Linked DNA regions of Ovis aries. The protein of the gene in region 1 purifies or fractionates together with the protein of each later gene. This does not show direct contact. Links are inferred from orthologs where the notes say so. Each region holds a gene or a part of one and is shown in the gene's direction. Other genes may lie near its edges. The genes, in order: PPP6R1, ANKRD44, ANKRD28 and ANKRD52.

Evidence for each region.
Region 2: the proteins of PPP6R1 (region 1) and ANKRD44 purify together in Homo sapiens (co-immunoprecipitation; 5 studies listed by BioGRID and IntAct, counting the BioPlex papers as one, with this or other methods). This does not show direct contact. The link is inferred for Ovis aries from reciprocal best matches to the Homo sapiens genes PPP6R1 and ANKRD44.
Region 3: the proteins of PPP6R1 (region 1) and ANKRD28 purify together in Homo sapiens (co-immunoprecipitation; 4 studies listed by BioGRID and IntAct, with this or other methods). This does not show direct contact. The link is inferred for Ovis aries from reciprocal best matches to the Homo sapiens genes PPP6R1 and ANKRD28.
Region 4: the proteins of PPP6R1 (region 1) and ANKRD52 purify together in Homo sapiens (co-immunoprecipitation; 3 studies listed by BioGRID and IntAct, with this or other methods). This does not show direct contact. The link is inferred for Ovis aries from reciprocal best matches to the Homo sapiens genes PPP6R1 and ANKRD52.

The regions. Positions count from the first base shown.
Region 1 is NC_056067.1:63,001,455-63,008,122, forward strand, and holds part of PPP6R1 (serine/threonine-protein phosphatase 6 regulatory subunit 1), read left to right. Parts: intron 1-373; coding exon 374-486; intron 487-563; coding exon 564-677; intron 678-775; coding exon 776-938; intron 939-1,028; coding exon 1,029-1,181; intron 1,182-1,271; coding exon 1,272-1,406; intron 1,407-1,777; coding exon 1,778-1,842; intron 1,843-1,927; coding exon 1,928-2,043; intron 2,044-2,120; coding exon 2,121-2,206; intron 2,207-2,323; coding exon 2,324-2,413; intron 2,414-2,479; coding exon 2,480-2,577; intron 2,578-4,452; coding exon 4,453-4,510; intron 4,511-4,592; coding exon 4,593-4,765; intron 4,766-6,668. UniProt on the Homo sapiens protein: Regulatory subunit of protein phosphatase 6 (PP6). May function as a scaffolding PP6 subunit. Involved in the PP6-mediated dephosphorylation of NFKBIE opposing its degradation in response to TNF-alpha.
Region 2 is NC_056055.1:199,622,153-199,629,516, reverse strand, and holds the start of ANKRD44 (serine/threonine-protein phosphatase 6 regulatory ankyrin repeat subunit B), read left to right. Parts: upstream 1-3,466; 5' UTR 3,467-3,548; coding exon 3,549-3,575; intron 3,576-7,364. UniProt on the Homo sapiens protein: Putative regulatory subunit of protein phosphatase 6 (PP6) that may be involved in the recognition of phosphoprotein substrates.
Region 3 is NC_056054.1:273,858,627-273,865,776, reverse strand, and holds the start of ANKRD28 (serine/threonine-protein phosphatase 6 regulatory ankyrin repeat subunit A), read left to right. Parts: upstream 1-3,209; 5' UTR 3,210-4,640; coding exon 4,641-4,757; intron 4,758-5,884; coding exon 5,885-5,968; intron 5,969-7,150. UniProt on the Homo sapiens protein: Regulatory subunit of protein phosphatase 6 (PP6) that may be involved in the recognition of phosphoprotein substrates. Involved in the PP6-mediated dephosphorylation of NFKBIE opposing its degradation in response to TNF-alpha.
Region 4 is NC_056056.1:163,291,055-163,298,385, forward strand, and holds the start of ANKRD52 (serine/threonine-protein phosphatase 6 regulatory ankyrin repeat subunit C), read left to right. Parts: upstream 1-2,692; 5' UTR 2,693-2,817; coding exon 2,818-2,844; intron 2,845-3,153; coding exon 3,154-3,237; intron 3,238-3,691; coding exon 3,692-3,770; intron 3,771-3,961; coding exon 3,962-4,032; intron 4,033-5,063; coding exon 5,064-5,264; intron 5,265-5,775; coding exon 5,776-5,863; intron 5,864-5,980; coding exon 5,981-6,123; intron 6,124-6,425; coding exon 6,426-6,638; intron 6,639-6,891; coding exon 6,892-6,970; intron 6,971-7,224; coding exon 7,225-7,331. UniProt on the Homo sapiens protein: Putative regulatory subunit of protein phosphatase 6 (PP6) that may be involved in the recognition of phosphoprotein substrates.

The DNA.
Region 1 (6,668 bases):
GTTGCTGTGTTCATCCCAGCTGTGTTCAGTGCTCCATCCTTTTCTAAGGCTGAGCAGTGTTTCACTGTATGGACGGACCTTGGTGGCCTGTCCGGTCCTGAGTTCGTGCGTGCTTGGGTCGCTGCACCCCTTGGCCACTGGCTGTAGATGGCATGTGTGGGGTTTGTGTCAGAGTCTCCTTTTCCAGGAAGTCTTCTTTGGTTTCCCTTTCTCTCGGCAGTCTCTCCTTCCCAGTGCCTATGTTCTCTCCCTCCCACGTGTTTCCCCGGGTCTGTGCGGCCCTCTGTCCTCGAGGGCAGGTGCCCCCCTCCAGTGCGTGGAGCTTCCTGATGCCAGGGCGGACCGGGGTCCTCAGCTCTCTCTCCCTCCCCAGCAACATTCCAACGCGTCCCAGTCCCTGTGTGACATCATCCGCCTGAGCCGGGAGCAGATGATCCAAGTGCAGGACAGCCCGGAGCCTGACCAGCTGCTGGCCACCCTGGAGAAGTGGGTTGCGGGGCCGCCTAGGCAGGGTGGGGAGCTGTCCCGGGCCCTCTTCCTTGACGCCCCCGCGCCTGCCCCAGGCAGGAGACCATCGATCAGCTCCTGAGCAACATGCTGGAGGGGGAGCGGAGCCCGTCCGTCCTCGTGAGTGGGATCCAGGTGCTGCTGACACTGCTGGAGCCCAGGAGGCCCAGGTGAGTGCCTGGGCTCCCCCCCCGCCGTGTGTGTGCATGTACACGTGTGCACAGGCCGCCTGCGTGGCTCACACTGCCCCCTGCCATGCCCGCTGCAGGTCTGAGTCCATGACTGTGAACAACTTCTTCAGTAGTGTGGATGGACAGCTGGAGCTCCTGGCCCAGGCAACCCTGGACAGTGCCGTGTCCAGTGCGGGGGCCCTGCACGCCCTGCGCCCACGTCTTAGCTGCTTCCACCAGCTCCTGCTGGAGCCGCCTGAGGTGGGCAGGGTGCTCGGGGGAAGCGGGGGGTGCAGCCTTGGGGTCAGGGCAGAGCTGGGGCAGGAACCAAGCCCAGCCCTCCACCTGCAGCTGGAGCCGCTGCGCACAACGTGGGGCAGCCTGGCCCCACCCCTGGGCAACACGCGGTTGCACGTGGTCAAGCTGCTGGCCAGCGCCCTGAGCGCCAACGACGCTGCCCTGACCCAGGAGCTCCTGGCCCTGGATGTGCCCAACACCATGCTGGTACTGGGGGCGAAGGGCTAGGGTGTAGGGGGCGGGGGTGGGGCGACGCTGGGGGAGCTGCTCAGAGCCAGCCTGTGCCCTCACCCCCAGGACCTCTTCTTCCACTACGTGTTCAACAACTTCTTGCATGCCCAAGTGGAGGTGTGTGTGAGCACGATGCTGAGCTCCGCGCCCCCTGCCGACAGCAGCTCAGACACGCCCCCCGAGAACCCTGTCGTGAAACATGTGAGCTGGGCTCCGGGATCCCCATCCCCTTTGGTCTCTGGGGAGCTCTGCTCAGGGGGAGAGTCTTGGTCTCTTCCGGAGGTCCAGAGTCTTGGAAAACAGACAGTTTTGTGCAAGGGTGGGGACTGGTGGAGTGGTGACCTCGGGGGCAGTGGGTATCCGGGGGGGACCAGGAAGGGTTCTCCTGGGGTGATGGCCCCTGCGCTCCTGGAGGTGCCTTCCTGGGTGTGGCCCTGGCCTCAGGGCAAAGCTGGAGCGCAGGCAGGCAGGGTGGCTCTGGGGCTTGCTGTGCAGGCTGAGTGGGCCCAGAACAGGTGAGCAGGGCAGCAGTGCTATGCTCACACCCAGTGCATGCCGCCCCACCCCCGCAGCTGCTGCAGCGGTGCCGCCTGGTGGAGCGCATCCTGACCTCCTGGGAGGAGAACGACCGAGTCCAGTGAGCAGGGGGCTCCTGGGCGGGGGCGGGGCCTGCTCCAGGGGGCCGGGCGGCCCGAGTCCAGCGCTGGCTTCCCTCTCTCCAGGTCTGCAGGGGGCCCTCGGAAAGGCTACATGGGCCACTTGACGAGCGTGGCCAATGCCCTGGTGCAGAACTCGGAGAAAGGGCCCAATGCAGAGCAGCTGCAACAGCTCCTGAAGGGTGAGGGCGGGGCGCGCATGGGAGCGGGCGGCGCGGGCGGGGCTTCCGTCCTTACGTCACACCGCCCCTTCCGGCAGAGCTGCCGCAGGAGCAGCGGGAGTGCTGGGAGGCTTTCGTGTCGGGCCCCCTGGCGGAGACCAACAAGAAGAACACGGTAGACCTGGTGAGTTTTCTGCGCCGGGTTCTCCTCCAGGCCCGGCCCCGCCCCTGCCCCGAAGCTCCTCCTGCCCCAGGCCTCCCCGGGCCCCGCAGGCCCTGACCCCTTCCCGCCCCTACCTAGGTGAACACGCACCACCTGCACTCCTCCAGCGACGACGAGGACGACAGGCTCAAGGAGTTCAACTTTCCTGAGGAGGCGGTGCTGCAGCAGGTGCGGGCAGGGAGGGCAGGGGAGGGAGGCTGTGTGCAGGCCTGCCCTGACTGCCGCCCCCCGCAGGCTTTCATGGACTTCCAGATGCAGCGCATGACCTCGGCCTTCATCGACCACTTCGGCTTCAACGACGAGGAGTTCGGGGAGCAGGAGGAGAGTGTGAAGTGAGTGGGCCAGGCGGAGGCGCGGAGGGGCGCGAGGCGGCGAGTCAGCGCGCACTCACATGGTGCGTGTCCGGCGTACCCATGCCCACCTGGCCCGGGTCGGGCTCAGCCTGCCGGCTGCCGGCCTCTCACCCTCCACCCCCGGGCAGGAGCGGTGCGGGCGTCCTGGGACACGAGGCTGGCTGCGCACCCTCACAGACTCAGAACTCGTCTGCCTCCCCTCCCCTTCAGAGGCCTCGGCCGACCGGGGAGGGTCCTTTTCAGTGACCGGTTCTGATTCTCTGCATATGTTGTACCGCACGTCAATATCGATTGCTCTGATACTGCCCTGGAACTTTTTTCTTGATTGTCCGAATTTTCTGCCATGGACGTTGGTTCTTTTAACCGAGAGACAGTTAAAAGTTGTGCTGTTCTGTTGGTTTTACGAGCACCCTTGTGATGGCCGTGGGTGCACAGTGAAGGGAAGGGCAGGCACCTGGGATCCAGAGAGGAGACTGGTGGGGAGCGGGGCGGCTGCCTGCAGCCTCGCGCTGGGCCCTGGGGCCGTGTGCAGTGACCAGCGCGGCCAGTGTCCCAGAGCAGATCCGCCTGGGATCCCCGGGGGGAAAGCGGCCGACTCCGCGGGGCGTGCCAGGCAGGGTTTCCCAGTTGTGGCCCCACCTGTGTTGTTGTGGGCAGCGTGTTGGGCCCCTGTCGGGTGTCACGCAGTTACCTGTCAAGACCACTCTCGGCTCAGGAGCCCGTCTGCAGCCAGGGAGACAGGGCACCAGCTGCTGTCTGTTGTGCCTCGAGGCAGACAGAGACCCCCTGGGAGCAGAAGTGCAACCTGTGCCAGCTGCCGCTCTGCCTGGCCCGTGTGTGCTGGGAGGCCCCGGAGGAGACCCTGGCCAGGGGGCTCAGAGAGTGGCCTGGGCACAGCCGGCTGCGCTGTTAGGACAAAACTGTCACCTCTTTCATCAAGATAAACGCCAATGAGGTGAAAGCTTTAAATGTTGGAAAAAAAAAAAAAAAAGCTAAAGCCATGAAGTCTCCTGGAACAGAAAATATGTTTGCAAACTCAGGGCTTAAGGCGCTGCTCACCGGGCCTCCAGCCGTGCCCGCAGCTGCTCCCTCCCCTGAGGGCGCTGGGGTACCTGCCTCGGTAGGGGTTGTGAGCCAAGTCAGCCTGCGGGGGTTGTGAACGTGCTTCCTGGGTCGGAGACAGCAGGCAACAGGCTGGAAGCAGCCCCGGCACAGGAGAGGCCAGACCTCAGTGCAGACATGGTGCTCTCCCGCCCTGGGAGAGAGGCAAGCAGGGCCAGCAGCGGCTGTTGGAAAATTGCAGTGTGCAGGTCGGAGCGTACGTGGGCAGAGCTCTTCCCACGGTGTGGGTCAGGACTTAAAGTGTGTGGATTTGATTCCTTCATCCAGGAGTGGCGCTTCTGTGCGGCTTTCTGGAGGGGAGAGAGCCGAGCAGAGACTGGTGGGCACGTGTGGACGCAGAAAGGCTGGGGGTGCGAGGTGGTGGTGGGCACAGAACTGCCCGTGATCCCTGGGCTCCTGGCCCCTACCTGGGCCCTGCCTCGGGGGCCTGTGTGCCTCGAAATGGATGTCTCACTCAGGTTATGATGTCAAAGCCTGAAAGCCTAGCCTGCCCGGTGAGGTTCTGTGTCCTTTGTTTCATGAAGAGGAAGCAAGGTGCAGGAGCCTTAGGTCTCTGCGTGGGGCCTCGTGTGACTGCGGGCACACGGGCAGGGCGCCTTGCCCTGCAGACACCCTGCTGACGGGATGCCGCAGGAATGGCTGCAGTCCACAGACAGCCCTAGAAGGAGGTGTGTCTGCTGGGACCGGGCCCAGGAGAGAGGGTCCCTCACTGCCTCTGTGCCTCCCCAACAGCGCGCCTTTCGACAAGACGGCCAGCATCACCTTCTCCCTGAGTGCAGACGACGACAACGTGAGCTGCCCCGACCACTGCTGGGGGTGGGGGTTCGCTGCGGGCAGGTGGCCCACCTCACCCTCCTGCCCTGCCCCCACAGCCCAATGCCAACCTGCTGGAGATCTGCTACAAGGACCGCATCCAGCAGTTTGACGACGACGAGGAGGACGAGGAGGAGGGCCAGGGCTCTGGGGAGTCTGACGGGGAGGACGGTGCCTGGCAGGGCGGCCAGCTGGCCAGGGCGGGCCGCCTGGGCCAGGCCCCGGGCGTGCGGTGAGTCCCCCCGCTCCCTTCCCCTCCTCTCCTGCAGGTTCCCCAGCGCAGCCGGGCTGCAGGACCTGTGGGCAAAACAAGGAGAATGGAGTGCGTGTGTGATGTGGGCAGTTTTCAGTGTTGAGTGATAGAAACCCAATTCAGATGCGTTCAGGTTCAAGAGGAGTAACCGCTTGGTCCAGGTGTCAGTGGGGCCATCAGGAGGCAGGTCCTTCAGGCACAGCTTGGCCCAGTGGGGGCATCAGAGGTGGTCCTTCTGGCACGGCTTGGTCCAGTGGGGCTGTGGTCTGCCCACCCCGCCCTCTATTCCGCTCTCCCCTGCGGCAGCTCTCTCGCACGTGTTCTTGCCAAAAGGGCAGTGGGGTGTCACGCCAGTGAAGCAGGACGTGGCGATTGTCCTTGCTCACAGTCCAGCTGCGGGCCTGTGAGCCGTGTCCAGCCCTTTGTGCGGGCAGTGGCTGGCACAGGAGCACTGACTGACTGCTCTTGGGCAGCATGGACTTGCCGGCGTGAACACCAGCTCAGGGCTGAGCCCTGTGACATGTGACCGGCACTGAGATGACGAGACAGGTCATGAGACAGGTCATGAGTGGCGGCCGCATGGGCCTCCCTCTGTGGCACCCAGAGGGGAGAGTGCAGCACTCCCCAGCCCCTGCTGGCTGCCCGCTGCCCTCCGAGGGTGATGTTCTTCTGACCCTTGCCCTTTGAGTTTTTGCCTCTTATCCCATGAGTGAGGCCCGTCCCTTGGGTAGGTGTGGTTGTGCCCTGTGTGACTGCCAAGTTGCTTTGCACTTAACACGTGTCATTGCTGAATCCAAGGTCGTGATTCATCCCTGTGGTTTTCTTGGTAATGTCAGTTCTTAACGTTTAGGTTTTTGACCTGTTGTGAGCTAGTTTTTTAGGTGTGTAAGCTGAGGGGTCCAGCTTCATTCTTAGGCGTGGAAATGCCCGTGTCCCAGCTCACAAGTTGAAGAGACTCCTGCAGGATGGTCTGTGCACCTTTGTCAGAAGTTTTTTGGCTGTTTGTGCAAGCATTTATTTTTGGCCTGTCTTTCCTGGCCCATTGGTCTGTACATCTCTATGCCAGTGCCGCCCCCGCCCCCCCCGCCCCCCGCCCCTTGATTGCATTGTACTGAATTCTGAAATTCAGTACTGAAATTGAAAATGTGAGCATCCAATTTGTTCTGTTTAAAATTGTGTTGATCATTCCGGGTTCAGTTCCTAGAAATTCCAGGTGTTAATTTCAGTAGAGAAAGCCAGTTTTTGAGAGGGATCGCCTTGAATCTATAGGTCAGTTAGAGAGTGTTGCCATTTTAACAATATTTTGTCTTTCAGTCCATGAAGTTGGGCTGTCTTTACGTTTGTTTAGGTCTTAGTTACTTCTGACAGTGTTTTGTAGTTTTCAGAGTATTAACTTTTATGGTGCTTTTGTTACATTTATTCTTAAGCAATACATTTAAATTTATTCTTAAACATTTTTGATGCAATTCTGAGAGAAATGTTTTCCTCAGAGACATTTTGAAGTGGTTATAAGCGTATAAAAATACGAGTACACTGGCACACTGATCCTCGCGGAACTGCTTGCTCTGACAGTTTGAGAGGGTTCGTTGGTCTCCTGCACACAAGCTGTGCTTGCTGCAGTCAGAGACGGTTTTGCTCCCTCCTCTCCAAGTGGGGAGAGAGAGCCCCTGCATCACGCGCTGGTCTTGGGGCCTCGGGGCTCGCTGTTGAGTGTGGCTTGTGGGCTCTGGAGACCATCCCAGGTATCCAGGGTCAGGAAGCTCCCTGCACGCTTTCTGCGAGCGTCTGGCTCGTGAGCACTGTGCGGACCGTGGGGCAGCGTCTTAACGCGCCTCTGGGTTTCCTTCGCGGTTCCCCGGTGGACACGGTGTCGAGTCTCGTG
Region 2 (7,364 bases), on another chromosome or scaffold:
GAGGATGAGATGGCTGGATGGCATCACCAACTTGATGGACATGAGTTTGAGTGGACTCCAGGAGTTGGTGATGGACAGGGAGGCCTGGCGTGCTGCGATTCATGGGGTTGCAGAGTCAGACACGACTGAGCGACTGAACTGAACTGACTGTAGTTTCGGTTTGCTGTTCAATGTAGGTTTATTCCATGACATGCCAGGGGCACGTGGGCCAGCCTGGGAGCAGCACCCCATCCACTTGCCCACTTAACTCTTCCTCTGGCAGAATCTCAACTCTTGTCACTTTCTCAGGGAAACCCATCTTCACCTACCAGCCTGGCTTGATTCCTCAGTCATGGATTTCTTTACAAGTATTTTTTTCCCCTGTGAACCCTTATCTCAGTCCGTAATTACATTCATTAGCGGTGATTATTTATGTCCAACATCTTCTGACTAGGTATCTTGGATGTTTATGCTCCCCCTTTCATATTGTGTCTATCCAGCATCTGGTGCAAAGTCAGCATTCAGTACATAGTTGTTGAATGACTAAGTGTGCATGCATGCTAAGTTGCTTCAGTCCTGTTCCACTCTTTTTTTTTTTTTATTTTTTTATTTTTTTTATTTTAAAATCTTTAATTCTTACATGCGTTCCCAAACATGAACCCCCCTCCCATCTCCCTCCCCATAACATCTCTCTGGGTCATCCCCATGCACCAGCCCCAAGCATGCTGTATCCTGCGTCAGACATAGACTGGCGATTCAATTCTTACATGATAGTATACATGTTGGAATGCCATTCTCCCAAATCATCCCACCCTCTCCCTCTCCCTCTGAGTCCAAAAGTCCGTTATACACATCTGTGTCTTTTTTCCTATCTTGCATACAGGGTTGTCATTGCCATCTTTCTAAATTCCATATATATGTGTTAGTATACTGTATTGGTGTTTTGCTTTCTGGCTTACTTCACTCTGTATAATCGGCTCCAGTTTCATCCATCTCATCAGAACTGATTCAAATGAATTCTTTTTAACGGCTGAGTAATACTCCATTGTGTATATGTACCACAGCTTTCTTATCCATTCATCTGCTGATGGACATCTAGGTTGTTCCCATGTCCTGGCTATTATAAACAGTGCTGCGATGAACATTAGGGTACATGTGTCTCTTTCAATTCTGGTTTCCTCGGTGTGTATGCCCAGCAGTGGGATTGCTGGGTCATAAGGTAGTTCTATTTGCAATTTTTAAAGGAATCTCCACACTGTTCTCCATCTGTTCCACTCTTTGCGACTCTGCGGACTGTAGCTCACCAGGCTCCTCTGTCCATGGGGATTCTCCAGGCAGCAAGAATCTGGAATGGGTTGCCATTTCCTTCTCCAGGAATGAATAAGCATTTGCTCCAAATTCCACAAGTATTCAGTTCAGTTCAGTTCAGTCGCTCAGTCGTGTCCGACTCTTTGCGACCCCATGAATCACAGCACGCCAGGCCTCCCTGTCCATCACCAACTCCTGGAGTTCACTCAGACTCACGTCCATCGAGTCTGTGATGCCATCCAGCCATCTCATCCTCTGTCGTCCTCTTCTCCTCCTGCCCCCAACCCCTCTCAGCATCAAAGTCTTTTCCAGTGAGTCAACTCTTCACATGAGGTGGCCAAAGTACTGGAGCTTCAGCTTTAGCATCATTCCTGCGAAGGAAATCCCAGGGCTGATCTCCTTCAGAATGGACTGGTTGGATCTCCTTGCAGTCCAAGGGACTCTCAAAAGTCTTCTCCAACACCACAGTTCAAAAGCATCAATTCTTTGGTGCTCAGCCTTCTTCACAGTCCAACTCTCACATCCATACATGACCACAGGAAAAACCATAGCCTTGACTAGATGGACCTTCGTCGGCAAAGTAATGTCTCTGCTTTTGAATATGCTATCTAGGTTGGTCATAACTTTTCTTCCAAGGAGTGTCTTTTAATTTCATGGCTGCAGTCACCATCTGCAGTGAGTTTGGAGCCCAAAAAATAAAGTCTGACACTGTTTCCACTGTTTCCCCATCTATTTCCCATGAAGTGATGGGACCAGATGCCATGATCTTCGTTTTCTGAATGTTGAACTTTAAGTCAACTTTTTCACTCTCCTCTTTCACTTTCATCAAGAGGCTTTTGAGTTCCTCTTCACTTTCTGCCATAAGGGTGGTGTCATCTGCATATCTGATGTTATAGATATTTCTCCCGGCAATCTTGATTCCAGCCTGTGTTTCTTCCAGTCCAGTGTTTCTCATGGTGTACTCTGCATATAAATTAAATAAGCAGGGTGACAATATACAGCTTTGACGTACTCCTTTTCCTATTTGGAACCAGTCTGTTGTTCCATGTCCAGTTCTAACTGTTGCTTTCTGACCTGCATACAGATTTCTCAAGAGGCAGGTCAGGTGGTCTGGTTAACACTTTACTATGATTACATATACTACTGTTGTGTGTGTGTCCCATGCTCTTTTACAGCTGGGTCTTCTATCTGTTGAAGAGTAGGGTAACTGGATTTTGTAGAAATGAGTGGGTCAACTGGTGGAAACCCTCAAAAAACCAATTAACGCAGCAGTACAAGACCTTTTCTTCTCCTGTAACGTTGCTCCATCTTCTTCGTCCCCAAATCAAAACCCAATGTTTGAATTTAACGATGGGGTTCTGCGTGTCTAGCAGGGAGGTAGCTGGAGAACAAGGTAAAAGGGCCAGAGCCCCACCTCCCTACCCTCCAAGAGTTTCACAAAAACTAGCTAAAGAATGAGTCAGGGTCTCCTTGTATTAAACAAAGAGAGCACCAGCCTTGCGGTCCCTGACCAGGTGGGATGATTTGAAGAGCTGGGCGGATTCCGGACTAGGGAGAGGTTTAGAGGAAGGCGTGTGGTCCAATCTCCTGATTTGAAATTGGCTACAAGTGAATGCAGCCTTTATTGCCCCTCGGGTGTATCCACAGGGAGTGCTCACGAGGTTGTGTGTGTGTGTGTGTGGGGGGGGGGACGGTGTGTGAGACAGGGCGAGGGGAGGGGTCACGATCAGCAACCCCCCACCCCTCCCCAGCCCGGGGGCCTCTAAACGTGTACGCTCTGCGTGGGGGGCAGCGTGGGCGACCGGGGGGCCCGGTCCCGCTAGCCCGCGCGCAGTGTGCAGGTGCGGAAAGCAGGCGGCAGTCTGACCCTACCGTGGCGCGCCCGGTGCGGGAGCCGGGGAGCACCCTGAGCCGCGGGCTGCGAGGCGCGCCCGCGGGCGGCAGGAGGCAGCGTCGGCCCAGGCGGCGCGGCGGCGAGCGAGGCAACGCGCGGTGATGTCAGTGGCGGCCCGGCTGGCAGCAGCCGGTACTTCCTGTATAAAGGCGGGCGGGCTCGGCTGCAAACCCTACTAGCCAGTGTCAGCCTCTCGGCGGGAGGAGGAGGAGAAGGCGGAGGAGGAGGAGGAGCAGGGGGAGGGCTGTCAAATTCGGGAGCCAGATTTTTTTCCCTTCCCTTGGCAATCCCTTCCGCTTCCCCGGCTCCTGGCGTGACATCTGCGGACCGGGGACCTGTATGTGTGTGCGCGCGAAGGAGCGGAAGAATGGCAGTGCTCAAACTCACCGACCAGGTAGGGGGCGGCGGCGCCGGCGGGCGGGACGCGCGGGCGCAGGGCGGCGCGGAGCCCCGGCAGGGGGATGGGGGCGCGGCACGGAGCGCGCCCGCGAGCTGTTTACTCGCGGCGAAGGGGAGGAGTGTGTGCGGCCGCCGGCTGCTCCGAAAGCCGGCGGCTGCAGCCCTCCTCCCCGGCTCGGTCCCCGCCCTGGGCCGTCGGAACTGCGCGCTCGGCTCGGCGGCTGGGGCGCCCCGGGGGTTGGGGAAGGGGCGGCGGGGCTCTAGCTGGCGTGCGGGGGTGCGTTGTCCACGGGCCCGGGCTGGGCAGGGGGAGGGGAGGCTCGAGGTGCTCCTCCGGCGCTGCGCAGCTTGGGCTCCTCCAGCCCGGGCGGGCGGGAGAGAGGCTGATGCGCGCCGCCGGGAAGAGGAAGGTGGATGGAGAGGGAGAAGGATCGCAGCCTGGGACCCTTTTCCCAGCCAAGCTGGAGACCGGCCCAGACCGTGGCTCTCGTGTGGTCGGGCTGTCTTTATCCTTTTGACGTGACACCCTGACTTCCTCTTTGGTAGCCCAGGGGCTGTGTGTGCGTCGTGCACGATGGAGATCTCAGGCACGGCTGTCCCTAGAGGAGGTGAAGTTCGGCCCGGGGTTCCACTCACAGTCGGTGGGCTACCCTCTGCCTGTGTTGATGAGCTTTGTCGCTTTCCGGCTAAGCCATAGCACGGGGTAGCTCTAGAGCCCTTTGCTTGGAGAGGTGGGGATGTTTGCTAGCTCGGTTGACAGTCCTCGCTGGAGGTCTGAGGCACGAGACACCCCTACCTTTTCGGACGCTGCTGCTCTGAGGGCATTGACACAAGCGCCCAGCCAAGTTGTATGACAAAACTCTGTAACTCCTCCTACGAAAAAAGGAAACAGCTTCCTTTTATTTCTTTTGCCATTTATTCATGGATAGTGAAATGAACATTGTTTTGAGGTCCTGGTAGGCGGAGAGGCAGACTTGACTTTGACACAGGCGGTCAAACATGCCAGCCCTTGGTGTTTAAACATCTCATACTTCTCAAGTGGGTTGCATCTGGTGCCTCCCTGTCCTCAGTATCTAGCCAGAACTTCCTGAGACTTAAGTGCAATCAATCACCACAGTAATTTGTTCTCCTGCCTTTAGAGTCAAAGTTTTGCTTTGCTTTCTGTATTTACAGGCTTTAAAAATTTTCTTTTTATATGGGGGAGGGATCACTGAATTAAAATGAACCTTATCGTTAAATTTAGCAGGAGGAGCAGCTGGTAGTGATGAATCTATTTGTTTCCATTGGTTCCAGAGCATTTAAGAGTACTTGTAAGTTGATATTAGTTTAGCCCTACCCCCAACCCCCCACCTTTTAGTCACATACTTTGACAACTGTTAGACATTTGTTTTAAATCTTTCGATTTTAGTCTGCCTTGGTCATGTTATCTTTTGCCATTGCAAGTTACTCTACTTCTCTGTTAATCTCTAAATATTCATCTTCAAAGTACACAAAATGCTTCTAATAGGTGTTGTCATTTTCACATACACAAAAGAATTTTACATAGAACTTTAGAGCTGGAAGGGATGCCAAAGGTGATCTTCACCCAAATCCTTAATTTTTTAACAAAGAAACTGAGGTCTAGACAAGAGAAGCAAGTCTTCCTCAAGGACACAGCTCTTGGACTTGTAGGGCAGAGATGCACTCCTGTCTCCTGCCTTCCAGATTTCTGTCCTTTCTTCTAGGGATGGTTGATATCTCCTGCTGTCTTGTCATCAGCTGTGTTGAAAGGCTGACAAGAAGGCATCCTCTGCTAAATCAGGATCAACCCTGGTGAAAAGTATTTTTTGATTTTAGAAAGTTATTCTCCAGGACTTGTCCGAGTAGAACTTTTCAAAGAGTTTCTCTTTTAAAGTGTTTTTGAATACATCCCCACCCTTCCCCCAACAAACTAGTCTCACTGTGGAGGGCAAGAAAGGGTTGTATAATGTTTATTTGATTCCATCTCCTGCTGCATAACAGGAAACTAAGGAGTTCTAAGATTCATGGACACCTAGAAGTTGACAGCCTATGGGGCAAAGCCTGAGGGAGAGGAGGTGGACTGGGTGGGGTAGAGTGGTGAACAATTATGGTTTCTGGGAGGCCTTAGGTCCAGGAACTGTGTGGTCTTTCTTGCCTTATATAGTCTTACCTTTCAGTTTGAAACTCTAAATTCTTAGAAGCTGGTTCTTAACCTCATCAGAGGCTTAAAATCCTTTGCTTAAACTCCTACTACAGGAGCTTTGCTTCACCGTTATGGTAGGGAACCACCTGCTTCAGATCTGGACCTTACGAGTTTGTAGAAATGCCTCGCTCTCCACTCAGCTGTGTATTAAAACAATCACGTGTTAATTCTCTCTCATTTGTTTAATGCCCTGTTTGCAAGGTGGATCTTGTTTTTGTCAAAGTTCTTGGACTTTTAGTATGAAGACACATTCTTGTGTTAATAACCTGAATCACTAGTTGTCTTGGGTTTTTTTGTTTTATTATTTAGATTTTTGTTTTTGAGTTTTATAATTTGTTTAATTGACATAACTGGTTTATAATAGTTAAGTTTCATGTGTATATGAAAGAATTGGCATTTCCTGTCCTGCTGAAACTGGGTGCAGGAGCTTGCTGGCGATGGTGGTCACCTCCTCAGTAGTCAGTCCCTCGCTGACATCTCTGTCATGCAAGAGGAGGAAAATGCCTTTTCCGAGCTCTGTTTTGGGAGAGTTAAAAGAAAGGAGGAAGGGAGAGGCAAGTGTGGGGTTTAGTTTTTTTTTCTTTTTTCACTATGAAAAGGAACTAGGAGCTATTGCTGCAAATAGACTTCGCATTGAGCACTTCTGCATTTGTAACTGTGTCTCTTCTGTTTTCCCCTTCACACAATACACATCATTTTTCTTACAGCGTTAGGGGGACTGATCTTCCTGGTTTGCCAAGACTGAGGGGTTTTCAAGGATATGGGACTTTTGGTACTAAAACCAGGAGATTCTAGGCAAATCAGGACAAGCTGATCACCCTATACAGCACAGAACACACTCACCTATGTAATTAACATAACAAGGTAATTATTTCCTCATCGATGGATATTGGGATTTTATTTATATCTTTATAAAGTGAGAATTTTAAGTTTGGGAAGAATTTCTTTACATCTAAATGTAATACATCTTAGTTAAAGATAGATGTGAAATTCCTTGCAATATTGAACTTTATGGGATGAGGGGGGTGTTCTTTATGTCATATAGTGAAGACATTGCAGTGATTTTAAGAATGTCATATCTTCAACCTGGCCTGGTACCTCCTCCCCAAAGTTTTTCAAAGTTCTGAAGCAGAATGGTAAGTTCTGTCGGACCTTTGAAATGTTCACCATTCTTTCCTGAATTTGCTAATGACAGCAGAATGCCATCTCCTTCTCTAGGATTCTTGCTGTAGGTGGCCCTTTTTGGAGCTTCCTGCCTGGAGGCCTTCTGGTTTGGTGTCCTCTTGCCAAGTCCTGGCTCATATTTTAGTCACTCACCTCCTTGCCAAAGGCAATGGCTGGCAGCTGTGGCAGTGGCAAGAAACTGGAAATCCTGCAACTTTGAAAGCAGTGTTTCTAGACCATAGTGTGGGGCACATTACATGTTTTACTGGGCTGCCCTTGTCCTCCCAGCAGCGCTGGGCTTATAGCAAACTCTGTGTCCAGTCCTGCCTTCAGCAGAGAAGGGAAAATAAAAGCTTCATTCTTTGGACCCTTCTCTGGTTGTTTTGAGATGCAGTCACGTGGTTTGGGGAGTGCACT
Region 3 (7,150 bases), on another chromosome or scaffold:
TAAATTAATCTGATATGGCCTAAAAATTAAATGCCTCAAGAGAAAAAAAAAGCATTTTCTTGCATTGTTCAACTGAAAACGGCAAAAACCCATTGTTGCATTAAATTTGCACAGTTACTGTCAATTTTTCATCCTATTCATTTTCTCCATTCCTGATTTCTTCAGTGGCTTCCCTTGATGGCTCAGCGATAGAGACTCCTCATGCCAGTGCAGCACACTTGGGCTCCATCCCTGGGTCAGGAAGATGCTCTGAAAAAAGAAACGGCAGCTCCCTCCAGTATTCCTGCCCAGTATGGACAGAGCCTAGTTGGGCTACAGTCCATGGGGTCGCTCAATGTCGGAACAGGACTTGGTGACTAAACCACAGCAGTTTTTTCAGTTCTCACTTACCTGTGTCCTTTTCCTTTAAGATGTGAATTCCTTGAAATTAGGGGGCCTGTCATATTCAATAGGAAATGTAAAACAGTGCTGTATGGCACTGTTAACATACAATATTTCAGTATTTTTTTAATAACTTAGTGTATTATGGGCCAATATTTTTTATTCTTGCTCTTTCCCTAGACTGTGAAATACAGTGAATGTGGAGGAATACAAAAACCTCTTGCCTCAGTTTATTGCTCTCTTCCCCAGTAACACTTGGTAAGCACTAGTCTGGTTACAGGGGTGTGAGGACAAGTTTCTAGCAGGCTCTCTAGAGGCCTGAAAAGGGTAGAGACTTAGTGACAGGATGGAATCTCCGGACCCCCAAACGGAATCACCTCCCCAGTAGGGGCAGGTTGTCAGTATCCAGGGTTTCACAAGGAATATCTTTTAACTATCCTAAGTATCTGTAGTAATACTATTATCTTTATTTTAAACTTTACTCTTAATAACACCACAAAGTAGATTCTGTTCAGCTCTTTAATAGATACTGAAATGATTCACGGAAATGTTAAGTAACTTACTTGCTCAAGGTCACACAGTTATGTTTCTTAGTAGGAAGCCGGATTAGATTAGTTTGGTTACAGAGCCTATCCTCTCAGTCACTGTTCTGTTACAGTGTGTCTCCAAGGTGAACATCTCTGGAGATTATTATTCTCAGAAGTCTAAGTCTTAGACTCAAGGACTAAAGCAGCTTGCTCAAAGACACAGCTTTGTCTTGGAATCTGAACTCCAGGTAGGCTGACTGCTGAGCCCACAGCTTTAACTGTCATTCAGTATCATTGTTTTATATGCTGTCAACTTACAGGTTTAAGCTGCTCTCCCACTAGAGACACAGCATTCATTTTGCTGCACTTTAATACCACCATGTTTACTGGTTAAAATACATGAATCCTACCCCCACTGTCTTTCATATTTTTGCCACTCTATTCCAGAGTCTTGTGACATAATAGAATTTATTTCAGTGAGACTATTTACAGACGGAAGATATTGGAGGAAACAATATGTATGTAACATAGCCCCTGCCTTCAAGGAGCTTGCTTTCTGTTTGGGAAAAACCAAAGTACGGAATTTAACCTAGAGCAAGAAAACAGGATGTACTTGCCTAGGTCTAAGTAGGTGAACTTACATACTGGAGACTTTAGAACAAGCTAAAATTGTCTGTATAAAAAAAAGATTTTGTTTGAGGGGTGAGGCCCCCTGACAGTGACAGTATATTGTTACTATAGTGGTTTCATGCATGTCAGAATACTTGCATGTCTTTAATTTGACTGAAAACCATTTACATTTTTAAAAATAACTAAGTGATTTTTTTAGCACATTTTAGTACAGTTACGTTAGGATTATAGGTTTTTACATAAATTGATAATGGGTTTTGTTGTTAAATTCTGGCTTTCTTGTTTATATTATGCTGGATTTTTTTTTTTTTTTTTTTTTTTAGTGTTCTGATAAATCAACTGACTTAAGTGTGTGAGGTAACATTAGCCCTGAAGAACCTATTTAAAAATAACTTGTTTGGGAATATTATTGCAGTAAATAGTATGTTACTTTGTTACCTAAACTTTTCACAATCATTGAGATTGTTTGTCTCCTAAGATCACTTTTGCAGTCTGGTGTTATAGATCACAGAACTCTTTGATGAGAGTGTATGTGTATAGTCAGTGGAAGCAGAGTAGATTAGAAAGAGCATGTGTTTACAATTAGGTACAGCTTTACTAATTTGCCAACTATGGATATAATAATTTCTAAGTCTGTTTTTTCTCTGTACATATGGGAATATAGCAAGGCCATTGTGAATATTAAATGAGAATGTAACATTTAGCACAGGAATAGCTATTATGTTTATTAATAAAAATGCTGGTTGACAGATGAAAACAAAGATTGAGGCGGAATCATAGTATTCTCTTTGTCATTTTTCTGTGGGAAAATAACCCCATCCTTGAATAAAACCAAGAAATGGGGAGGAAATGGAGAAAGCCAATTATAAATTGGTTGTTTTTGACACTTATTTGTAGCTTCAGGATAATTACTTTTATAGGGAGGGAGAAGATTCTTTGCTTTGTGTTAACCCTTTACCTTTTTGGCATATAGATAATTCACTACCAAGGACTTGAAAGAATAGATTTATGTAGCTATTCAACAGATTTTAAGGCTTTGTTCCACATCCAGATGGGAAGACAGTATTATTTCTTTTGTGAAATTCAAGTGATTAGTAGAATTTTACAATTAGAATTTCTCCAATATGGGGTTTTCATTTTTCTCTTTCAAAATATGATTTGGTTGACTGAATTTAACAACTCAAGTTGTTAGTAAATCTTAAATTTCTTTTGTGTAAACTTCTTTACATTCTTGAAAATAACATACATCTAGTAGATTAAAAATGGTCTAGAGGAAATAGGCAGAAAACCTTGGGCTTATGGTATTTATGTTCTCATGAAATGCTCCTCCATCTCTAGTTCTTTCATGGGTTCACTGCATTCTCACTGCAGCTGTCACTGTAGGGTTAAACATTTGCCATATTGCAACATACGAAAGCAGTTAAACTGTTTGGAATTGTTTACTTGCTAAAACCACTGTTAGTCAGCAGAGGCAGTACACCAGATTTCCTTGTGGCTTTTAGTGGAAAATGTTAAAAGCGCACTCATTTTTCAGTTATAGAATTTTTTAGTTTGATCTGGATTAGTCACAGAACTGGCATGAACCTTCTAATTGTGAAGGCTGTCCAAACGCACCGTTTTTTTCTCCTGCTAGAGGAAGTCACATCCGGAGCAGTAGCTCAGCTCTCTGGTAAGTGAAACATGTGAGCATTACTAGGCATTTCACCCTGCGGTTCTGCAGTCCTTGCTCTTCAGAGTGTTGCTCAGTTGGAATGCTTCAATGGGGCCGATCCTGAGGTTCTCTGGTTTTTAAGGACCTACTACTCATTTGGAGGTGTCAGTGGCGGTTTGTAAGATCATATGAGGAACAGGAAAGCATCTGAAATCGACTGAAAAGGAAAACTGTAGCGGTTTTCACAGTGGAAGGAAACTATATTGGCACAGAGGCAGATGACTGAATAAAGTAGTTGGCTCAGAGAAGATGCACAGTCTGCTGTTTTTTCCTCTGAATGAAGACTCTTTGATGGAAGCTGCATTCATGTGGAGATCAAAGAAAACACTGGAATGATAAACTACTGGAGTTTTCTCCCTCTCTTTTTTAAAAATGAAAAGCCTGAAGCCGTAATTTGAGCTCAGACGCCTTCTAATTCCTTCACAGCCTGCCTGTTCCGTTAGGATTCTCCGCTAACACCGCGTCTGCTTGGTGCCTGTGCCCTTTCGCTGAAGCAGCCACAGACCACTGCCTGATGGAGGAGCAGTGAACACTCTGCTTTTCCTGTGCTGTCGATGGGAATAAAGCTAACTGTTTTCCTCTCTTATATGGAATATCTGGACTAATCAAGCCGTATTCTAGTACCAAGAGTCCTATTGTCTCTTGTGGTCTGACTCATTGCATGTAAATGTACTGCAGCTTTGCTATTAATGCAGAGTGTTGTTTTTTTTCTTTCTCAAACACAGAAAGAATTGTCAACCTCTGAGCAACGTTTTGAGAGCTCTAGCTATAGTTTTTTGTTTTTTTTTTTCCTCTGGATAGTATCTGTATTAAACCAGCGAAGCTGAAGAAGTGAAGACAAATTAGAAGTGGAAACCGAATAGTGAGATTTTATATTTTATTTTCAATGATAAGCAAGCCAGCTGCTGGTAACTATGACCTTGCAGGCAGGAGTGGGCATCGCTGTGACCGTCTGTCTCAGCACTTGCTTCTCGTCTTATTCTGTTGTGTGTGGTGCTATCACCCGAACAGTGATCTTTTTATGCAAGTGAATTTCTGTAAAACAGAGTAGTAATATGACTATCTTGGTAGCGGAAAAATAGTTTTAAATGAGCTGATTCCGGACTCAGTTTTAGTTCTTGACATGTTGATGTGAAATTTCTTCTAAGTTTTACAGTTAACTGACAGAAAATAATAGAATTGGGGTTTTTTTTTTTCTTTTTTTAGGGAGTTATGTAGTTATAATTTTAAGCTTTAGTTTTTCTGATAGTGCTTGTTAACTTTAAAAACACCAGCTGTGCTTTTTAGAGGATGATTCTAAGTGCTGTACAGAAGAGGAGGAAAAGCTACTTGTGCTCTTCCAACTGTGACTTTTACCACGTAGCTTAGAATTCAGCTTTTTAAAAGAACGAATGAGTCGAGTGTGTATTGTTGTTTTGGAGGAGGTAGAAGATGAGTCTCCTGCATTCATTTCTAAATTGCCACAGGAAAATAAATCCCTACATTCTCCACCTTCGGGAAATGTATTGGTAAGATACGAGAGTTTATATGTTTACTATCTTTTACTGAACTAGCAGGGTAAATTTTATTTTTTAAGAATAAATGCAAATTAATTTCCGCTAGTTTCATTAAAAACTCAAGTGAAAGCAATATAGGTGTGTGAGTATGATGTAATATTACTTGTGTATAAATGCACACATTTCCTATTTTCACTTTTTCAGATGTTTCGGTAACATTTCAGACTTTATCTCTTAATCTCTTAAAATGAGTTTAAAAAATAATTTGAGGATAGTAGGCTATAGCACCCATGTTTCAGTTTTTACTTTGTGGTTTTAGAAACTAATGTAGCAAGTATGAGGAACTGTATGTTTTAGGAAAGTTGACTGTTGTCAGCAACACCGAGACACAGCCTTCTCTGTCGTGAATTTTATATATTTACATGCAGGGCTGTTACAGAAAAAGAATCAGACTTCATCTTTAATTTTATTTTTAAACCTTATCAATTAACTTTTTGTTTGAGAGTATAATGTGTTACCTTATCAGAGAGGCTATATCGTTGATTAAGAACTTGTTACATTTAGACATGCATGTGTCTGCTTCTTCATGTTACTCAGATTTATAGTAATTTTTGGTCTTTGAATAATAATGATTTTCATCAGCTGTCAGGTTTTCTTTGGATTTTTATCTTTACACATGGAATGCTAACTCATGCAAATTATTCGGGTCCCCGGAACAGAGCTGCTCAAAGAGGCTTCCTCTGTGGGCTCCTTGTCAAATGCCTGTTTGACGAGCTGTGTCCTACAAGTATGTGTTGAGATGTCTCACTTGTATTTATTTGGAAGATACTTTCTTTTTACCATCTGTATAAAAAAAGGTTTCCACTCATATAAAATCTAATTATGGTTATAATACTACCTAATTTTGGTCATGTGGAATTGATTTTTTTTTCAATTAGGCCTACTCTTTTTTCCAGGGATTTCAGAGGAATCTTGTACTTTCATATGATTTGACTTCATGAAACTTGGTTCGTGTCCAAAGCCAAGTGATTTTTGTTGTGATAGGGAAGAAAAATCTTAGATTTAAAAGTTATGTGGAAATAGCTTTAGCATCATCCCTGTGGTGTGATTAATGTTTTTATTACTCTCTTGTATTTTAGCCCTCACTGGTGCAAGCTATATTTAATGGAGATCCTGATGAAGTTCGAGCACTAATATTTAAGAAAGAAGATGTTAACTTTCAGGTAAAACAGTTTCACTGATACCAGCCTTGAAGCGTACTTTGCTAGAGTTGATGATTTTTGTTAAAAGACCTAACATAATTCTGTAAGTTTCTCTAAGCAAAGGTAGAAAGGTCTTGAGGCAAAAAGGAAAGGACTGGACGTGCATATTCAGGGTAATTACTAAAACCTAGGACAAGTAGGAGTCAGTGAAGGATTTCTGTTCCCCCAACCTTTTACTTTGAAATTTTTCACAGAAAAATTGAAAAACTTCTTTGAATAGCCATATAACCTCCAGCATTGATAACATTTGCCATATTTGCTTTCTCTCCAATATTTACACAAGTTATATTTATACTACACATATATTTATTCTTTTTCTGAATCCCATTTGAAAGTAAGTTATAGACATCATGACACTTCACTGTTAAATATTCAGATGAGGATTCTTTATTGTGAACTTAGAATAAGAGACATGCCTTAAATTTATAATATATCTAACTTGGTTCTGAGGTTAAATTGCTTTCTGTAAGTAATCATGGTAAACATTATACACAAAGATGCATCTATTTGGGTATCACAGTAAATAAAAACATTGTTTGAAAGTTCTTCAGACTTTTAAAGATACAGTGGATTTAACATTCAGGACTGATGTGAGGGACAGTTTTGGAGAGTGGCTATGTAGCTAATTCTGTGTATGTTTCTCCAGTGGCAAAACTTTTTAATTTACTAAGCTGAGGTGGGTGAGAATATATAATTAACTATAATAACATCAAATTTTTTACTGTATATATTTTTACTGGAAGTTAATGTTTTCAGTATCTTTTTCATACGTGATTCAGTTCTCTAAATGATGGAGAGTAGGGAGAAGTCGTGATTCATAAGGTCCCTATAGCAACAGCAAAACAGATGACCTGGAATTGATTGGCCAGTTCTAAGAAAGCCGTGTTCTGCCACCTCATCTCCAGCACTCATCTTTCCCCTCTTCTTTTGGACAGTGTATCATGACCACTTGATGTTAAGTAGATATAAGAAGTATCTTATTTTTTAAGGTTGAATTAACTGAGTAAATTTGAATCGTTAGCTAAAATGATTCATCCTCACATTCTGAAATGTAACCAAAATGCTATTATTACATTTTTCCCTTAAACATTGTGTTTAAGTTTATATTTACTGGAAACATTTACCTCATTCAGGATTTATTTT
Region 4 (7,331 bases), on another chromosome or scaffold:
AACTTATAAACACAAAAATAGACACTGTTACTTAAAAAAAAACCTACTATTACATATATTTTTCTGTTTTTTGGCAGCACCTCAAGGCTTGTGGGATCTTAGTTCTCGTTCTTGGTAGTAAAAACATGGAGTCCCAACCACTGCCGATGAGGGAAATCCTGAAACCATTACTTCTAAGTTTCTACCTCCAAACCAGTTAGTATAGGGCTGAATTAAATGCTGAAGCCTCAGCAAACGTTTGTCAGAAGAATGAAAATCGAGGCTTAAAGACAGGCGGGCATCTGCTTAGTTATCCAAATATGAATACAGTAGTGTACTCCAGAGGGAGAAGGCAATGGCACCCCACTCCAGTACTCTTGCCTGGAAAATCTCATGGACAGAGGAGCCTGGTGGGCTGCAGTCTGTGGGGTTGCTAAGAGTTGGACATGACTGAGCGACTTCACTTTCACTTTTCAGTTTCATGCACTGGAGAAGGAAATGGCAACCCACTCCAGTGTTCTTGCCTGGAGAATCCCAGGGACGGGGGAGCTTGGTGGGCTGCCGTCTATGGGGTCGCAGAGTCGGACATGACTGAAGTGACTTAGCAGTAGCAGCAGCAGTGTATTCCAGAAGGACACTTTGCATAGGAGGGCTTTAGGACCACTTCCGGCCTCCTTATCCCCACGCCTTGCATCTCCTTGAGCCCTGGTAGTAACTGTGTTACCTACATCATATCCTTTTTTCCCTATTGGGAAATCCTCTTTCTGTGCTCTGAATAATATTAAAAATAACTCTTCTAGCCCTCCCTCCTCCTTCCAGCTGCCCAGAGGACCTGGCTGGCAAACTCCCTTGTTCACTTCCACTCAGGAGCCAGACCAGGCACGTGACCCCAGTTCAACCTCTGACTCCAATTCCTCAGGTTACCAAAAGCTATTTTGGGCAATGGAGGCCATGTAGTCCCCTCCTCCCCATCCTCTGGGCCATATCCTAGGTTAGCCCTTCCTGGAAGGTCTGTCAAAGCCAATAGATAAGTCAACATGTCCCAACACCCCTATCCATCAGATTCCAAGCTACCTTCAGTTTCTACTTCTTCAGCCTCATCTTCATCATCATCATCATCATCAAGCATTAAGTGTCTGTTCTGATATACTTCTCTCCTGGAGCATCCTTTTTTCATAGAAAAGAAAACCAACATACAGTCCAATGTTGGAAGACTCTGGCTAACAAGGAGCTTAAAATCCCTTCTGAAACACTGGATTCCTGTATGTCAAAGATGTAAGGTGAAAAAAACAATAAAGATGCGCAATTTAAACTTGATTGTGATTGCAATATAGAGAATACAGCCAGTGTTTTACAATAACTATAAGTGAAGTATAACCTTAAAAATGTGAATCACTATGTTGTACATCTGCAACATATAATATTGTGCATCAACTATATCTCAATTTTTAAAAGTGGAAAAAAAAAAACCATCCAAAACAACAACCTGATTGTGACAGTGTAAACTAAGTATAGAAGTGTTAAGGAGACCTGTCAAAACTAAAAGAAACTGTTAACCAGGAAAGACTTTCTGGAAGAGGTAAGTTTTCAGTAAAACTGTGAATTTTGTTTTCAAAATGGTAAAAATTTTTAAAAATTAAAGGTATATACTGATAGGTAAATTTCTCTCTCATTCCTTATTCCCTGTTCCCCAGTTTTTCTCTCCAAGAAAAACCATTGGCACTTGTGTATTTTTCAAGGATCAAGATGATGAAAGTGATGAGGGTCTTAGATTGTCAGAAGGCAAAGGAGGGCTTTTATACCTCTGCCTATGTGTTCCTCAGATTACATATATTGAGTTGCTGAGCTCGGCACAGGACACTGAATCTTTTATAAATTGTATATAAATTCTTCAATATCTACTTTTCTTTTCTCTTTTTGCCTTTTTGGGAAGGTTGACCTCCATCTAGATCTTGCCTGATTAGCCTGGTCTCTCCAGTGGAGAAGTACCTCGACCTTTTTCTGGGGAGAAACTGATGAGTCTTTTAAAATGTAGCCACCCTACCACCTTAACCTGGCAGTGGAGTAATTAGGCAATGGAAAAGCCCCCTTCTGTTGGGCTAGGAGTCTTTCAGTTGCCAGCTAGCCAGCTAGCTATTTTATCCTCTCTGTGGGGTTTTCCTGCAGCTAAGAATCCTTGAGGGTCCCCCCACCCCCACCCCCCACTCCTCTGCAGTTTGGGCACTTTTGCTCTTTCCTTTCTACCCAACTCTTGTCACCGCCAGCGGAGATACGCGCCTTCCCTGCGTCTGGGACTATTGCCATATATAACCCCCAGATCTCCACGCCCGGCTTCCCCAAGTCAGTGGGGAATGTTGAGTTGTGTGATCGCGGACCGGAGGCGTTCGCTCGGCGGAGGCATTGTGGGCTGAGTGAGATCTGGCTCGCCATTTGGTCTTCAGTTTGGAAGGCAACGCAGGAGGGCCGAGGCCCGAGTTGCCGCTAGGATTTTGTGGAGCATCTCCCGGGGGCTTCAGACGAGCTAAGAGCCCGGCGCGGCCGGCCTGAGGAGCTGGGGAACGAGGGCGCGAGGTGGGGGTTGCCCAGGCCGCCGGGACCTCCGGGGCAGGGCGGAGGGCGCCGCGGCCTGGGGCAGCCTGCGCGGCAAGCGCCCTGCGGCCGGGCCCCCGACGGCCGCCAGGGAGCGCTGCGGGCTCCCGCTCGCCCGCCCCCCGGTAGGCGGGGCTGCGCTCTCCCCGCAGCCGCCGCCGCAGCCGCCGCCTGGGCCGCCCCGTGTCCCCGGTGGAGCCGCCGCCGCCGCCGCCGGGAGCTCGATGCGGACGGAGCCCGGGCCGGGCCATGGGGATCCTCAGCATCACGGACCAGGTCAGCCCTCCTGCCCTCGCTCGCTTCCTCCTTCCAGGGCCCGACGCCGCCGCCACGCGAGCCCGGGGATGTGCGGCCTAGGCTGGGCCCGAGCCCGGGGCTCCCGCCCCGCCCCACGCCACGCTCCCCTCAACCGAGCCGGTGTCCTTGGGGGCCTGGCGACTGGCGGAGACACCGTGGAAGCCCCCTGCAGCCAGGACCCCAGAACGAAGCCCCTCCGGCGTCGCCCCCCATCTCAAGCCCGGTGTCCCCCGCCCCCCTCCCCGGTTCCGCTCCGGCCCGCTCCCTGAACGCCGGTTCTCCCTGCAGCCGCCCCTGGTCCAGGCCATCTTTAGCCGAGATGTGGAGGAAGTGCGTTCCCTCCTCTCGCAGAAGGAGAACATCAATGTGCTGGTGAGTTGAGATCAGGGAGGATGGCGAACCGGTAATCTGGGCCCTGGCGTTCAGGACCCCTCCCCACGCGTGGGGCGGCTCCGTGTCTGTTCGGCTCGGGGGAGGCCGCAGCTCTTTCCACCCTGGGATGGGCGACTGCTGTACATTGGGGATGAAGAGCAGGGCAGTCTTGGAGCACAGACCAGTAGGGCTGAGGATGCCCAGAAACGGTGTTCTCTTCTGAACCATCCGTGTCTGCAGCGCCCCCACCCCTCCTGGAAGAAGGAGGTTGCTTCGCTGCCGGTGGCCCCGACCCCCTGACTCCACCCTCCTAGGTCCTGGCTTTGACCTAGGATTGGGGTTTAAAAGGCCACAGAACCTATGCGAAGAGGTTGTGGGGAAAGGCCTGGAGCACTAAGACTTGGAGTCCTGGGTAGTTCACCCCCATAGCCGCTCCTCTTCTCTGCCTTACCAGGACCAAGAGAGGCGAACTCCACTGCATGCTGCTGCCTACGTAGGCGATGTCCCCATCCTCCAGTTGCTACTGATGTCAGGTGAAAGTGGGGAGCTGGAAGGTGTGGTGCCCAGGGAGGGACCTGAGGGAGGAGCCTATTTGTTGTATCCAAGGATGGTCCAGCTGGGTCCAGGCGAGGTTCTGTCTCCATCTACATTTCCAGGCCTGATTCTGGCTTTTCTTCCCCACCTGCTCTCCAACTCCCACCAAAAGAGCATTGTGTCCCCACAGGTGCTAATGTCAACGCTAAGGACACACTGTGGCTGACCCCTCTTCATCGCGCTGCTGCCTCCCGAAATGAGGTACTGGCCTCCTCGCTCCTCTCTCCCTTCCGAAGCAGATGAGTTAGTTAAAGGTGGATGGCAAGGGTTGGAGAGCCTTAGTCCACTGCCCCACAGGTTATGGTCTACCCCCAGGTTGGGAGGAGACCGGACCTTGGCCCCTCCCTCCTACCCCTGGAACTGGCTGGTAAGGGGGGTGGGGGCTGAGTGTTGCCAGCTGATGTGACGTCAGGGGAGAGCTTAACACTGGGCTGGCAGACTGCAGGGGGCCCTGCTGCCAGGCCTTAGTGACTCATCCCTCCCAGGGGGGCCGCCTTGGAGTCTGACCCCCTCTGGGCACTAAGATTTCTTTCCTTGTGCTTGAGGGGTGGGGGGTCGAGGGGGAGTGGTTTGTGACATCCCTGGCCCTTAGGCAGCCTAGAAGTTGATAGCGCAAGGATCAGACATACCTAATCAGTTGGGCCCCTCAATCCTGAAGAGCGGGAAAAGATGACCTTCCTCTTGATTTGGCAGTCATTTCCCCTGGCTCCAGCCACTAGGGAATGGGAATGGGGTGGGTGGTGAACAGGAGGGGCATTTTAGCTCCTCTCTTCCTGGAGAGCCAGTATCTGCTTACCTAGGTAATAGAGATGATTTTGATACCTATGGAAGGATAGAAGGGGGTATTCAGGGCATTAATGTAGTGGGAGCATTTATCTTTCCTAAAAGTGGTGGGAGGTCAGGAGCCTCTATATGGGGATCTGCTCGGTAGTGGCTGTATGTGTGGGTGAAGATTTTCAGGGTATGGGTTGGGAAACGATACCAGGTGACTTGAGGAAGAGTTCTGTGTTTTCCTCAGCAAGTTAGGGAAGATTTTAAGCTCAAAGAAAATCCAGAAGATGGAAAGTGGGTATTGAAAAGCTCACTGTGTTGGAAAAACGCGAGTAACTCTGTGCTGGGGTAGTGGGGAGAGGGGACATGTGTTCTGTGCTGACCGGTTCTCCCCTCCATCTCCTGTTGGTTTACCTCCTGCTCCCCCTTTGTCTTCTCTTTTATCCTCCGCCCCTCCACAGAAGGTGCTGGGACTGCTGCTGGCACATTCAGCAGATGTGAATGCCCGGGACAAGCTGTGGCAGACACCATTGCACGTGGCTGCTGCCAACCGGGCCACCAAGTGTGCTGAGGCTCTGGCACCCCTACTGAGTAGCCTCAACGTGGCCGACAGGAGTGGGCGCAGTGCCCTGCACCATGCAGTGCATAGTGGGCATCTGGAGGTGAGGACCACTCTGGGCCACGCCCAGCTTCCTGCCTTTTTCCTTCCCTTCCCACCCCCCTTCCCCTGCTTCCAGGCCATTAGGCCTGGGGAGCAGCAGCCCAGACGATTATATAAATACTTGGGCTCAAGCACCAAATGAATGGTTGGGTTAGAGGGGAATTCTTGACTTGGACCTCAAGAGGGTGATAAAACCTCTGAAGCTGCATGGAAAATGTTTGCCTGCATGGCTTTTTCTGAAGGGAGAGTCCATGTCCTTCAGCACATTTAGAAAACTTCTTTGAAAGAGTTCAAAAACCACCAGATCACCTGAAGAGACTCTCTTGAGTAGTTTACCTCAGATTTCCACATCTATCTGGGTTCTCCTTAGTGCCTGCTTTCTTCATTCCCCCTAGTTCTCTGTTCTGCCCAAGAACAGAGACATTGGGCTGCCTCAGCCTTTTCAGGTGCTCTTAGGTACACTGAAGACAGGAAGCTGGCTCTGAACAGGTGTCTTTGCTGTCCTGCTACAGACGGTGAACCTGCTCCTCAATAAGGGAGCCAGCCTGAATGTTTGTGACAAAAAGGAGCGGCAGCCTCTGCATTGGGCAGCTTTTCTAGGTAAGAGGAGAATCGGGGGATGAGCAGGATTTGGGGTTCCTCGGGCAGGGATGTGGGCTTGCAGCCTTTGGAGGTGCTCACCCTCCATGTCCTTCAGAGAATGCTCTCCCTTCCCAGGGCATTTGGAGGTCCTGAAACTGCTGGTGGCACGGGGCGCAGACCTTGGCTGCAAGGACCGCAAGGGCTATGGGCTGCTCCATACAGCTGCTGCCAGTGGCCAGATTGAAGTGGTGAAGTACCTGCTCCGGATGGGGGCTGAGGTCAGGGTGCAGAGCATGGCGGAGGGTTTGGGGTGAGGCCAGGGAGCTGGAGTTCAGAATCTCTTTGGGAGATAGGAGGGTGCTGGGGTTCCTGGTGTGGTTTGGGGAGTTGGAGGGATGTGGTGAGAGGATCTGAATAATGCTTGTCTTAAGCAGAAGTGCCTTCAGTCTCTGGGTTGGGAACCTTAGGAGTCTGAGGCCATTGTTGGATTTCTGGGACTCTTTAGGCTATCTGTGCCGGCTTCCACTTTGTTTAAACTGATACCTCCCTTGTCCCCTGACCCTCACCCCTGGAAATCCAGATTGATGAGCCCAACGCTTTTGGAAACACAGCTTTGCACATCGCCTGCTACCTGGGCCAGGATGCCGTGGCGATCGAGCTGGTGAATGCAGGAGCCAACGTCAACCAGCCGAACGACAAGGGCTTCACGCCGCTGCACGTGGCTGCCGTCTCCACCAATGGCGCGCTGTGCTTGGAGCTGCTGGTCAACAACGGGGCGGATGTCAACTACCAGGTGCCTGAAGGGAAGAGTCTGGGGCTAAGGGGAGAGGACGCTGGCTCTGGGGGTGCTGACCGTATCTACCCCTCTGGATAATTCTCTGGGGAGTCGTCTGCTTGTGTCCTGAATTGACCAGACCTTCCCAGGAGAAAGTGGGTTGAGAAGATGTCCCTATGGTCACCCTATCCTCAAAGATGTGTCCTTTGGAAAGGGTAATAGGGCACGCTCCATGCTTTGCACTAGGGGAAAAAATGCTGTGTCTCCACAGAGCAAAGAAGGGAAGAGTCCTCTGCACATGGCTGCCATTCACGGCCGTTTCACCCGCTCCCAGATCCTCATCCAGAACGGTATGGACTTGGGAGTCTTTGTGACCTTTTCTCCTCCCTCCTCAGAGAACTCATCTCTAGAGACCCCTCTTCCTCCTTCTACCTGCCACCCCATCTTCAGTCAGGACAGGCACCTGGTGCTCTGGAGCAAGGCGCCTGTGGAAATGGCCCTGCTCCGCCTGCCCAGCCCCTCTCAGATGGTGGCTCACTACCTAATGGGAGTGGCCTGAAGCCTAAGGGTTAGTTCAGTGTGTGCGTGCGCTGCCCCCTTTCAGGCAGCGAGATTGATTGCGCCGACAAATTTGGGAACACGCCACTGCATGTGGCCGCTCGCTACGGACACGAGCTGCTCATCAGCACCCTCATGACCAACGGCGCGGAT